2 linked regions of the Mytilus edulis genome follow. The protein of the gene in region 1 binds, or shares a complex with, the protein of each later gene. Links are inferred from orthologs where the notes say so. Each region holds a gene or a part of one and is shown in the gene's direction. Other genes may lie near its edges.

Region 1 (7,189 bases):
AAGAAGCAGTAATAAATTAACTTACCATTCAAAAGCTTTTGTTCCTCTTTTTTTGAAGAAGTTGTCCCAGTACTCTGGAGAATGAAATTCTGTGTGGCTTTGAGGCAGAAGATTCATCTCATCGGATTGATAAAGTGGATCTTCCTTTCTTCTGTCACTATAATACTGATGGCATGAATACCAATATGAAAGATTGAAGATTCACTGAAATAATCAAATGGTACAATTCATGGCTGAAGGGGATGTGTACAAAACAAAAAAATGAAACCAGGGGTCCCAGTAGAGGTTGGCAATGTAAAGAGGCTTAAATTGTTTTAAAAAATATAATCTTTTCTAGTATTAGATTTTCTTTTAGATAGTTTTTCAGCCCTGCAAAATTTACTTGATTTTCACACATTTTTATAGTTTGTTTTTATGTTGTGCTGTTACACCACTGTAACAGGTAAGGGGAGAGTTGAGCGTTCACATGCATAATCCCGTTTACCGGTATTTCTTTATGATGCAGTCAGACTGTCCCATGTCAGGAGCCTGTAGGTCAGTGGTTGTTGTTGGTTTATGTCAGTCATCTTTGTTCATAATTGTTTATTATACATAAGGTCAATAGTTTTGTAATTGTAATCGACATTACATATTATTCAAGAAGGGGCATTTCGTAGCCATCTATTTTGTAAGGATTTTCTCATTAATTATTAAGGCCATATGGTCATGATGGTTGCCTATATTTGCTTACAGCTTTGACACATGTTACCAAGGGATCATTTTCTTACAGAGTCTGTTCACCCTCCTTATCAATTAAAAGTCATTCTAGATCTTTACTGTTAAACAAATGATGTTTGGTAATTATTAATACATGTTATCAATCATGTATTTATGACTATGTGTATATTTGGAAAGAAATACTGTTATCTATACTTTGTTTAGAACTGATGTATTCAAGCGCGGATCCAGAGGGGGGGTTCTGGGGGTTGGAACCCCCCTTTTTTTTTACCGATCAATGCATTTGAATGGGAGCATATAGCTGGAACCCCCCTTTACTCTGGGATGGGAAACCCCCCTTTTTATTACCCGTACAGAAATTGCTAACAAAAGCACATAAGTTTCACATGTGAAGCACATGAGATGCAAATAAGAATTGTATGCAAATCAGGTTGATCATATGTGCAGTTTGGTAGTTCATATGTGCCCACAAAAATCTAACATAATGCTCACATGTGCAATTCAAACCTCAGGTGAGCTTTTATCATCCATGTTAGTTTTATGTTAGTTTTGTACTTTGAAAAGTTTTTCCATTCTTCTAACCATTCAAAACTAACCTACATCATTGCTCATATGAGCTTTTTCAAAATGACATGCCCAGTCATGTACTTCCTGTAAATTCAAATTCATGAAAAGCATGCAATAAATGAAGGTAGATGGATATGGAAAATGTTAAGTCCTATATTGTGCTATTTGAAGAAAGGCATTGTTGAAATCTGATAAAACCAGTGTGGCTGTGGTTAATTATTTTTGTAAGTTATCATTTCTATTTCATTATTTTCATTTTTGTGTCAGATTTTGAAATATATTACAATTTTAAGTCCTTTATGGGAATATATATACAGGTTGCTTCAAAATAAGTACTACATGTATAAAGATTTTTCCTTTTAAACTTTTTGAAATACAGTACTTATTAATCAAAGATATTCATTGTGTACTAAACTTGCAAGTCCCTCTATTAGTTTTATAATGTAATGTTATGTTTTTAGTCATGATCATGATTATTGTTTAAATAAATAAAAAAAAAAAATCATATGAAAATCATAATTAACTGACAATAATTAAAGAATAACTCTTTTTACATGATGTATCAGTTATTTTATTTTCAACTGAATTATTTAAGATTTTCATTTAAATTTGAAAAATATTCATTTTTTAAAGCAGCCATTTTGTTTTGGTCAACTATAATATTCACGTGTGCAACATGTTAGCAACTGCTCATATGAGCAATCTAATAAAATGCACATGTGAAACAAAAGCTCATATGAGCAGTTGCACGTGAGGTTTTTAACATGCAAATTAGGTTAGTTTCATATGTGCAATTTTTTTGCTCACAAAATGCTCACCTAATTTGCATGTTAAAAAACTCGTGTGCAATCATGTTAGTTTCTAACGTGAGCATCTTATGTGCAACTTATGTGCAACATGTTAGCACTTTTTGGTAAGGGAATGGCTGGATCCGCCCCTGTGTATTTGTATGTTTTTTTAATATTTGTGGGTCTCTAGTCTTTTTTGTGGTGATTATCTTGTACATGTGTATGTGTCTGTTGGTTATTTGTTTCATACATAAGTACTATCATGAAATAGAATTTCCTTTATAAAATAAGTTCCAAGATTTCCAAATGGAAAAAAAAATATTAAGCAGTAAAATAATTTTCATTGGAACAAATATTACAGTATTTTTCCTACAGGAATAATGATGACATGATATTTGTTCAAACAGCTGAATAGAAATATATGTATATTATATAGTATTGTTTAAATTATAACAAAGTTCACCATGAAGTTTCCAGTTGAACTTTTGATAGGCAAAACAAATATGGGTTTACTGTGATGCATGTAATTATACTAATAATTAACGGATATGCTCAACAGAAACTTTTGATAAACAAATATACAATATGTGAAATAGTCTTCATTTAGAGTTAAAGCCGAATAAAGGAACTAGCTTAAACCATGCAGTAGCTAGCAGTCTAAATAGTGACAATACTCTTAGCTTACATGTAACTCGTAGCTATCCTATTGGTTTTTGAACTCTACATTTACACACTTACATGACTTAACATGCTTAAAGAGCAGTTCACTGAAGTATAGATTTTATACATCTGACATGGCAAAAAAAAAATGGACTAGAAGTGAAACTGGGAGACAACTACATGAACTAGTTCCTACTGTGAGTAAGACCCATTCACTTGATTATGAGAATCCATAGGGAGAATCATGTCGAAATTTATAACAGGCAAAGTGAAAGTATACAATAGAGTGAATAGACATAATAAATACTGTCATCAGATAGGCCAATCCCTTACACCATATAGGAATGTGGTGAAGAGGAAGACACAGAACACTTCCTATACTTCGGACTACTGAATTTTAATGTGCCTATTGTTATGCGTTTACTTTTTTGCATTGGCTAGAGGTATAGGGGAGGGTCGAAATCTCATAAACATGTTTTATCCCGCCACATTTTTGCGCCTGTCCCAAGTCAGGAGCCTCTGGCCTTTGTTAGTTTGTATTATTTTTAATTTTAGTTTCTTGTCTACAATTTGGAGTTTAGTATGGCATTCATTATCACTGAACTAGTATATATATTTGTTTAGGGGCCAGCTGAAGGACGCCTCCGGGTGCAGGGATTTCTCGCTGCATTGAAGACCTGTTGGTGACCTTCTGCTGTTGTCTGCTCTATGGTCGGGTTGTTGTCTCTTTGACACATTCCCCATTCCATTCTCAATTTTATAAATCATTTTAATTTTACAAGATACCACCAGAAAAGAGAATAATGAAGACTGCTGGAGATTCAAAACATCCAAATAGTTTGTCAGACACTATAGCTACTAGCAACAGAAAGGAAATAGACATTTGAAAGAAAAGCAGAATAATTAAAGAGTTCAGAGCAATTTGAAGATTCAGTTAGCTCTGAATTATAGATTAAATGTACTAATGTACTCCAAATAATGATAACGTCTTGAAAGGCTATTACATTTTTTCTCTTTAATTCTGTCAAATATGCCTTACATCAACGCAGGAAGGCATCAAAGCAAAAATTAAAATAGCCTTCCAAGACGTCATAATAATTTACTTATACTGAATTACCCTTTTGGACTAACCTGCTATATATATATATATATATATAGCACATGTATGATGTAGCATGTGTAGCTTCAGGAATAGAAGTGTAAATCAAGACAGAATTAAAATTAAGAAGAACCAACGACTTAAAGAAGATAAAAATATATATATTATTCTAAGCTTCATAGTATAGTAGATTAGAAATACAATACTATTTTTCTGAAGTATTACCTGAGGCTGAAACACCACCAATCAACAAATTCCGTTTTATCGTAACTTCTCCGGTTACGTTCCGAGTTTTATTTTTATCGTAATTACCTCCCTTGTCTTAGCCTGCGGCCACTTTGTTTTGGTTTTTACATTAAGTTAAACAACTTAATAACACCAAATTTGTATTCAAGATGTTCATTCCATCAATTGTATAATACAAGTAAGACATTATTGTCACGTGAAACAGCTGGGTTGGTTGATATTTGATTCATCAATATTAATGTGAAACTGGTGTATGATCCTGCTGAATCCTAGTCCAAATAATTATGACGTCTTGAAAGGCTATTATAATTTTTTGGAAAATGACGCAGTCATTGTTCCATTACTGGCGACCTGAACTTCATTACATTCTCTGCCTACCGCGCTTGGTTTCGTATTTACTATTTTCTATACAAACTGGAATTTGCTTGTGTTATCATTATGCATGAGAGGTCATTGTGTAGTAATCAGCCAGGAACCAGTTTACAAACTAACTGGTTTCTACTTGTATTCCACTACACTCGAACAAAGTGTTGTAGTTTGACGGGAACCAGTTTAGAATTTGTAAACTACAAAACGTAATCGGTTATTGTTCATTCCGTTTTGGTGTTTCATACCGACTTTTATGGTTTGAATAAGCTTAAGACCCGTCAAACATTAATGTGATAGGTATATTAAAGACTGTTTTACAAAAGGATGGAACTGTTTTGCTTTCAAAGTCGTACTATAGTGATATCTGTTATGTACGGATTTCCACTCTCACCGGTTAATTTCTTCTTTTACACATGCTTTTGAAACTTCCTGTTTAAACATCGCAAGTTTTAAAATTGTAAAACATAGTGAGTGAATTTAACTTATTTTAACAATCATGAAGCGTTCCAGAATCATTTTCAAGCAGTTTCTTCTTCTCTTTGATGATGGAAAATAGGTTTTTCTCAAGAAAATACCGCAAACGATCGCAGAGGAATTGAAACGTACAAGTCAAGTCGGCACCTGGTTAAATTGGCATCTAGTCAAATCGGCACCTATTTGACGTCAATTCGGCATCCAATAATATTTGTTATAATATTTTCTATTCAATTAATTAATAACTGTTACCAAGTACATAGTGAATATGTTGTTGTGTATTTAGGTAAACAACGAAACCAAAGTGAACTATGTTGTTGTGTATAAAGGTAAACAACGAAGCCCTTACCCAAGCTGTTGTTTTAACAATTAGACAATTATTAAAATAAAATGGAAAACTATGAGTCCCTTTCAATAAATCAAACTTTCATGCCAAATAATAAGCAAATTTAAGGTGTTTTTTTTCAGTAAAGTTTAAAAAGCATTAAACAAACAATCCTGTAAAATGCTCAACTGGTTTAAATAATGCATAAAAATATCCAATATCTCATGTATTAGTCCAAATAATTATGACGTCTGGCAAGGCTATTTTTTTTTCTGTGATGTCTTCCTATGAAGTTCGTAGGAAGGCGTCCCAGAAAAAAATAAACATAGCCTTGCAGTCATAGAAAGGTGTCCCAGAATAAAATTTAAAAAGCCTTGCCAGACGTAATAATTATTTTGACTACTCATATATATATCATTAAAAATACACCAAAAAAGTCATTAAGTTGAGAAAAATAAATATATACAAAATGTACATGAACACCCAAAAATGTGAAAGTTAGTATTTAACATGTTTAACTCTTTTTGCTTAAATACTGAAAAAAATCCTGGCAACCCCTTACTTATTTTTACTCTTTTTGCTTAAAATACTGTTAAAATTTATATTTAATATGGGTGACAAATTGACTATATCAGGTGTCGATTTAACCAGGTGCTGATTTGTCCAGGTGCCAATTTAACCAGGTGCCGGTTTGACTAGAATTCTTTGACAAATGTTTGAAATTACCTGAGTTTCATTAAACCTTTGATAACAGTAACAAAAAGATTATTTACTTAATATTTTGTGGGAGAAGGGGGTTCAGACTATGTGGTACCAGGTCTGTTCGCGTCCAATTCACTTTCGCACCCTACACGTTCGCACCTCGCACGTTCGCACCGAAGGTCCGTTTGCACTCTACTCATTTGCGCCCAATTTTAATTCAAATTCAAGTTGAATAATTGGAAAATCATGATTGTTGTTTTAAATTGCTTTGGTGTAAATACTGAATGTATTTATAGCTTGGTATGAGTAAAACATTGAAGATTTTAAAGGAAAACACAAAAGATAATTGTTTTTAACAGCTTGGTCCCTTTGATCTGAAACAACGAAACAATAAAATATAGGAACCAAAATATAGCAATCCACTATTATAACCAAAACATGATAAAATCTATTCAACACACAGAAAAAAACATAGTCAGAATCTCACTTCATTTTGAAAGAAGTCAATGAAACAAAGTTATAGCAATACACTAACCAAAACATGATTAAGAGTTATTCAACACAAAATAAAACGTTGACAAAATACCACTTTATTTAGAAAGGATTATTATAATTTTTAACAATACGCTATCTAAAACATGATTAAGATTTATTCAACACAAAAAAACAATGACAACAATTATACTTATAAGAAAACACTTGCTTACAGAGTTATTAAACACAAAACCAATTAAGATTGGGTGCGAACATGTAGGGAATGAAAGTGAAAGGGGCGAACATGAGTGGGCACGAACGGAACCGGATTCAGACTATGTACCAGTGAGAAATATACAAGCCTTTCTACGGTATTTATTTGTACAATTCAGGTAGTCTTGACCTATTCATTTGTCTTAAAAAACAGCCAGTTGTCACCTTCACTTCACACACACACATATATATACGAATATCAATAATATGCTTACGAGACATGTTGCATTGTTAAACTAATTACGGTATGTGAAAATCAAGACTTGCATAAAAACTATCCCAATATTAGAGACAGTGGCGTCATTTTTCTTCAGAGCTTTCAGCTCTTTGATTTCTTTGACGCCTTACATCGATGGACTAGCTGAATCCATGATATCTCGGCCTATAACAAAATCGGACTATAACAAACTCGGTCTATAACATAATTGGCCTCCCAAAATCGGACTATACCTAACTCGGACTATACCAAACTCGGACTACTAGAAGAATACAAGT
Region 2 (7,433 bases), on another chromosome or scaffold:
TGATGCTTCTAGTTTCTTATCAAAGCATGGCATGACTGTCACATGATAGATCAGGTTGGCTGGTACCCCTCTACTGGTTGCCATGTAATCCTTGACTAGAGAACCCATTATCTGCTGAGGAGATTTAGTTGTACTAATGTAGGGTAGGATGTAATGTCCATGTGTTTTCTCTGCATAGCAAATCCAACCTGAAGTTTTCACAAAAATATATTTATAATTTCATATAAATTGTACATGAAAATGTACTATTAAAATTTACATGTTGTTTAAAGAACATGTCATTCTTCCCATCCTTATGGATAATCTGATTATTAACAATGGACAGCAGTATTCGTCTGTTAGTATTGTCAATGATTGTAGTTGGTATCATTGATAAGACATTCTAAATGGAATGTTATATTTAATTTTCAATATATTTTTTAATGATATGAAAGTATAATATACTATTTTTTCATGATGACATAATGTGTACACCGGTGAGCCAAATGATACCACTGGTGAATCTTACTATTAATCGATGATAATATACATTGTGTCTTATTTTGAATTTTAACTTAGATGATATAAACCTGGACAAGCTGATGACAACATTGGTAAAGCTGTTTTGTTTGTTTCTGATTCCTTATATCTTTGTACAAATTCTCTGCAACTCTCTAACAAACTGAAGTTCCTGGAAAATGTGGTATCAAAAACATAATGTACACCTGAAAATATAAATTAACAAAACATTGAAAATTAACACATTTGCAGCATACACAATGTTGTACACAAAACCATATTTTTTTCTTTGTTGAACAAGTTGATAATTTCTGTGTACATGTGCTGGAATAAACAGACTACTCTGAATGCATGTTTTCAATTTTATTAAACTTTCCTAGCAGATAATCATTCATTGCCTAAATATTGTTCAACTAAGTGTACAGTTGCAAAACCCACCTGTTGTAAAGAGAATTGTTTTATTTCAAATGACCCCTAAATAAAATTTGGACACTTGTATGGTATTTATTTTAGCAAAACCCATTAAAACTTGCATCATGTTATTGGGTACTAAATTCAAATTTGTTTTGGGAATTTTAATCATATTATTATATTCCTAAAATTTCATTACCAAACAAGGGTTTGGAGCTGTCCTTTGTTAAATTTGCTTGTCTCAATTCATTTTTTCTTGTGAAGAAAAAGATTTATAATTTATAGATAATTACCTATTTTCTTGAAGAATCCTGTCAGTTTGGCAGCAGTTTCTTGTACAGATAGTTTATACTTGGCAGCTAATGAGGCTCTACACTGGGGAGCTATTGACACAACTACTAACTTCTGCTGCTCAGCTTGTCCAGTCTAAAATAAAGATGTCATACAAATATCATATAATCACCAACGTGTAAAAGCAAAAACTAGTGATGTTTTTGGATAGAGATAAATGTCTGCACAAATCAGAAATCAGTCCCATAGCTACATGTAGTCATGTAGATCACACTGTACACTTAATCATAAAATTTGGTTTTAGTACACAGTGGTGGATTTTTTATTTGTTTCATTAAAACATATGATTTTTTTTAGCAGTGATTCTTATAAAAAAAGAATTACAACTATTTGCCATCTTAAGGTAAGAAAAGATTTGTCTTTGAAAGAATGGAGTTTCTTTAATATGCAAATGATGTAAAAATGGCATTTTTACTGCTAAATATATCAAATCTTTCTTGAAATATTGCATGCAATGTGTCTTGCTAATAATTTTTTAGCCTCTTTTTTTTACACTTCTTCAATATCAAAAATATACAAATGTTTTAAAGGGAGATAATCTTAAAAATAATAATACATTTGAAATGCAATATATCATCATAATACCTACCGCGGTATATATTAATTCAAATATTGCAATGTGTATTAAATCATTTTAAGCACATTACACTTTTATTATTTTTTCAAAATACAAGTATTTCAAAAGAAGATAACCTAACTTTTGATTCTCATATGAAAGACTGGAGTTATACATGTATCCCATTGTTTGTGTTATACAGTGTTTTAACAGTTTAAACAATCATTCCATAAACTATCACACAATTGACCGTTAACTTATAGTATCTGAGAAACTGACCTTATCATGAACTCTTAATGTTGATCACTTACATATAGCTGTAGACAGGTGAGCCTTTAATCAGCATGTGTGTTTTGAAATAAATCTGCATACAATATATCATGACCTAGATTACTTGTATTAACTGGAAATTAGACTAAAAAACGATAGATTTTTGTGCTGTCATTAATCCATTGAAACAAGGTCAAGGACTAGACAAATTTGAATATGTAAAAAATGTATATAATGATCAGTAGTCCTTGACCTAATGTTCAGGTAACAAAGCATCTGTATTCAAAATACCAATCATACAGATCATTTACCTTCTAAAATATTCATCTTTATACTAAAACAAGCTAGATTAGCAGTATTAACTTCTTTAAATATTAGCTTCAGGCAAAATAATATGTTTACCTCCTGCAATCTCAAATTTTCTTTGAGTACTTTATAAAGTTCCTCTTGACTTTGTTGAGTTATAAGTACACTCTCTGCTGATGTTATACACCCACTACAAGCCAAACAGTCATTCAATGTGATCTTTGCCTTCTCTAGTCTGGTCTCTTGTCCTTCATCATTAACAGACAGATAAGAACCATCATCTTCAATTCTTATTTTACCAACTTTACCAGGTTTTCTGTCAATTTTAACTGGTTTGATACATTCCTTGAATAAATGAGGTAAAAACATAAATTTAAATTAAAAATAAATGAACGCAACTGTTTAATTGATATACATGTACCAGTAATTTGAAATTGATTTTTTTTCATCACATCACATATTTATCAATTATGGACTTTTGAAAAGGTCAATACATTATATATCATGTATATATGTACCTGTTCAGATTATATTGACCTAGGACGAAGTCTAATAGAAAATATTAGAGCATAAATATAAAGCTAGAATGGCAAAAATCCTGTACTTATTTAACTTGATATAGGAAGACAGTGGTATGAGTGCCAATGAGACAACTCTCCATCCAAATAACAATTTATAAAAGTAAACCATTATAGGTCAACGTACGACCTTCAACAGGGAGCCTTGGCTCACACCAAACAACAAGCTACAAAGGGCCCCAAAATTACTAGTGTAAAACCATTTAAACAGGAAAACCAACAGTCTGAGTCTAATCTATATAAAAAACTTGTTTACATCTATGCTAACTTTAATAGGGATGCAATTCACAACACTTATGAAAAGGGTTAACTGCTGTTGAACAAAGGTCTGCCAATTCACTCCACTAATGAACGATCATAAATCATCAATGACTTTTGACCAGCAAGACCGAAATATAAATGACCTTTATCATTTTATAAATTTATATTATCATGATTTTACCCTTTTTCAAAAAATAAGGCGAGAGGGCAGGTATTATGTTGTGCAACATTTGTATGGGGACAAAGTCCCCTTTTACGGTAGAAGAATAAAAAAAAATAAAAATTGGGAAAATTTCTAAAATATTTCATTCTACTAATGAACTCGAAATCGTTAACCTTTTTTTCAGACTTTTTTTTAATCCCCGCATCTGCACAGAAATCTACTTCCTTTTGCAGTCTTGTTTGCATGAGACTTTGAATAAAATATATATTTATCAGTCTAGTAAAATATATAGAAAGGAACTCAATACTAATTCATTTTAAAAAATTGTTTGTTTATATGAAAAAACGTTACATGATGACAGCGTTTCTTTGTTAACATGGAATATGACGTTATAACTTAAATAACGTCACAAATAAAATCGCTAATAACAGAAACCAAAATTGGAAACGTCACGGTATTTCTGTTTCTCTTTTTTTTTTTTACATGTTTGAATTAAAAAAATAATGCATGTATACTTCACAGGTAATGCCTGCCTCATATTAAGGGGGGGGGGGTAACCATAGTAGAGCGATTTGATAGAAAAGTGGGGCGAGTTGGTGAACAAGAATGGGGCGCTTTTGCAGTGGGGCGAGATGTCTTGTTTCACCAAAAGTCATTCGTACTAAATTTTGACCCCTCAAAGAAACATAGAATTAAAAAGTCTTTAGCATCAAGGAAAATAACATGTCTACATAACAAACGAACTGTTTATACTACAAAATTATTATGTTTAACCTGTGAAGGTGTGATAAAATCGTTCAAATCTGTTAGCTGTAGGGCTCCACTGAAGTTGGAAGCCATGTTTTTAGTTAAATTAGATGACCAATAAGAGTCGTCGAGACAATCCAGACCGCTAATCAAAATATTTCTAACAAGTGCGTTTGACAGTATTTATTTACTTCCGGTTAAACTTTATTTTGCAAGGCAGCTTGAGACAACATTTTAAAAGATGATTTCTTGAATAATAGATGTTGTCATCTTTTATTTTTGGTTTAAAATGAACGGATCAAACACAAATAATGATCCAATTATACTGGCAACTGCAGGATATGATCACACGGTCAGATTTTGGCAGGCTTACAGTGGAATTTGTCTGAGAACTGTGCAACATCCAGACTCTGTATCCATCTACAAAATCTGTTATAATTTATTTACCAGTTACCCCATCTGATCAAGTATTTAGATGACCTCTGAAGATTTCCAATGGTCATATAACCAAATATAAACATAAATATGGACACTTACACAAGTTATAACAACCTAATGCAGAGTAATTGTATGAATAGTAAAAATGATAATACATGTAGTGCCATTTTTTACTGCAGCAGATTCTTAATTTGAAAATTTATGTCTAATGTGATGTTCATGGCACATGATCAGATGAAATACATCATTTTCAAAATGTGTAATGAAAGAATATTATACTTATCATGTGTATTCAGAGCTTCAGATAAGCTGCGTATTTGCGTGATCACGCAATACAAATAATAAAAAACCCAATGCAATTGTCCATTGCAGGGTTCAATAACCCAATTAATTCAAAGGAAAACCCAATTATATTCCAAAACCATGAGTTCTCAACCCTTTTATTGGCTACCATTTGCGTTATTTACCCTTATCTGTTGCGTAAACTATTTTTATAATATTTATAATTGGAAATTTCCTTTCGTTCTAAAAATAGATCCCTGCATCAAGTAGCTGAAATGGGTCCCTGTTAGAGTTTTCCGTTGCTCAATAGGTACACGTGTTTTTGAAAACATTTCGATCTTCTCGGCGTTTATCCAATAAGCGTGTGTCATGAAGTCATATTTTTTTCGCATTGCTCGGGATTTATCATAACATACATTGAATTAAAACAAAAGTGAATGTCCGGTAAAAATATTGAATAGAAGCATATTTTCTGCTTCTTTTGAAAAGCTTAGGGAAAGTTATGATGATAACAAGACTCAGCCAGTGTTTTTAGGAAGCGTCCATCGAACACACGGGCGTGTGTGCGTACCTTAACGAGAACATTTCTAATAAAAGCAGGGTTTCCTCAAAAACGAAATCAGTTGGAAAGATGAAAGGCCAAATCAATTTAATATAACATGATAAAGCATCAGAAACCAAAAGTTCTAATAAAAGACAACTAAACCCAGATTTATGAAAATTGGAATAAAACAAAAACATTCAAGTATAATTAGAGTTTATATACTATTTTTTTTTCATTTTACGGTTAATTTATAATGAATATATACACACACAGGCACTGGTCTCAGAATTTATTACATAAAGGTACAAGACGAGTGCCTGTGAATACACATATCCGTTTTTTTTACAGTTTATATGAGAAAATACAAAACTGGCAGAAGGTTTGGAATGGAACACAAATTAAACCTACAATTGCTTCTCAGTCAATAAACCAAATAAAACAGCTAGCAAATAACCCTATAAACCCTAAACCAAATAAAACAGCTAAACAAAGAAAGAAACATATTTAAGATGGAAAAAAATCTGGGGTTGATATTGCCTAAATATTCAATATTGTGTTGATGAAAAAACCCAATACATTAAGAAGCTTGGTGTTGAAAAACCCAATTTGATATTAAAATGAGGGGTGAATTGGAATTGATAATGCAATTAAAAAACTTTATCACCCAATTATATAAGAAAATGGTGGGTAAAAAACCCAATTTGTGAATTCTTATCTGGAGCTCTGTGTATTACTAATTTTTATTTGATCTGTAAAATTAGTATAACTTTATCATTGTTATTACAGGGTGTTTTACGTTACTGATTAATAAATATCATGAACCCTAGCAAAGCGACTTTAGTTTTCCTTGAGGCCTAAAAGTCAGCTATTACATTAGCATGAACTGTTTGCATTAAAATATTGATGATAACATTATGAAAACTAAATTTTGAGGATAATTTTTTATGCAATAACATCTTATTCTGTTGTTTACAAATAATTTTCATTCATTGTCATGAGGATTCAGTGGAGGGTTAGAAGATAATTTGAAAACAGAAAACAGACCATAATTAGGTTGGCCTACATGTATGTATATAGAAAAAGTCCTTGATTTTAAATTAGAATTTAGATAGATTTGGAATTTAGAATTTGACAACCTGATAATGTCATCAAATTGAACATCTATTTAATGAACCAACATCCATTAGAGACTAGATGTTGAATCATAGTCTAAACAAATAGACTATAGGTAGTCAAAATGGTCAATCACCTCTGCGCTATGTTCCAGTTGTGTTATAGAGGTCACACCTCAACCTTCCCTTTTCATGTTAATAAGGGTGGCAAGATATATTAAATAGAATAGAATATTTTTATTTCCTAAATTACATGGCCCATAAAGTGCATAAAATCAGTATACATAAAATCAGGTACAATTGATTGACATAATTGGTAACCATGGTAACAACAACAATAATAGTCACAGAGTACATGAACAACATTCATGACATTCAAATTGTGCATTAACTTGTAGATTTTCTATGTCACAATGCATATGTAATACTTCACAGTAGAAGTCGCTTATTCAATAAAATTATTTCCACAGCTTGCCTGAACAATCTGTCAAAACCATGTACAATTATGATTTTTTTATGTTAAATTTTTTGTATTCTTATAAACAAAGATTTACACCATACAATGTCAAAGTTGAATAAAATGGTTTTTTATGTGATTTTAGCTGAAAAAAAACATCCTCTAGTTTTCGAAGCGATAGATAAATTATCATATATCATGTGCCATATATATTCAGCACAATTCTGAGCTGCCTGTGTTTTTCCTTAATTTGTTTTCTAGCAAGTAAATGCATTGGAAATCACTCCAGACAAGCAATTGATTGCTGCAGCTGGTGAGTTTGTAAAATTTATACAAAGCATACTCATTTACAAGACTTAAAAACCAGTTGTAAGCAAGTTTCAAATAGTAAAATTCCCTCATCCAGAAAACAAGGGTATATTTATATAATTATGATGTTTGGTATGGTTAAAAATTATT

What was found.
Region 2: the proteins of target of rapamycin complex 2 subunit MAPKAP1-like (region 1) and target of rapamycin complex subunit lst8-like are in contact, whole or in part, in a cryo-EM structure (PDB 7PE8), measured with the Homo sapiens proteins. The link is inferred for Mytilus edulis from reciprocal best matches to the Homo sapiens genes MAPKAP1 and MLST8. Residues at the interface, in NP_001006618.1 of Homo sapiens: Lys102, Cys103, Lys104, Asn105, Ile106, Gln107, Trp108, Lys109, Arg111, Asn112, Ser113, Lys121, Leu123, Phe124, Glu125, Lys126, Lys127, Ser128, Leu129, Gly137, Lys138, Gln139, Ser140, Ile141, Leu142, Val144, Arg145, Leu146; in NP_001186102.1 of Homo sapiens: Ala29, His30, Pro77, Ile78, Ile79, Ser80, Tyr81, Asp82, Gly83, Arg98, Arg110, Ile111, Trp112, Gln120, Cys121, Gln122, Arg123, Ile124, Asn139, Gln140, Ala141, Leu157, Lys158, Ile203, Glu206, Ser279, Gly280, Asp281, Gln283, Asp322.

The regions. Positions count from the first base shown.
Region 1 is NC_092345.1:75,930,005-75,937,193, forward strand, and holds the start of target of rapamycin complex 2 subunit MAPKAP1-like, read left to right. Parts: upstream 1-4,121; 5' UTR 4,122-4,255; intron 4,256-7,189. Other genes in the region: eEF1A lysine and N-terminal methyltransferase-like, read right to left, coding at 26-117. UniProt on the Homo sapiens protein: Component of the mechanistic target of rapamycin complex 2 (mTORC2), which transduces signals from growth factors to pathways involved in proliferation, cytoskeletal organization, lipogenesis and anabolic output.
Region 2 is NC_092352.1:37,093,505-37,100,937, reverse strand, and holds the start of target of rapamycin complex subunit lst8-like, read left to right. Parts: upstream 1-4,315; 5' UTR 4,316-4,430; coding exon 4,431-4,553; intron 4,554-7,235; coding exon 7,236-7,287; intron 7,288-7,433. Other genes in the region: cytosolic Fe-S cluster assembly factor narfl-like, read right to left, coding at 1-188, 570-704, 1,203-1,335, 2,489-2,737, 4,169-4,234.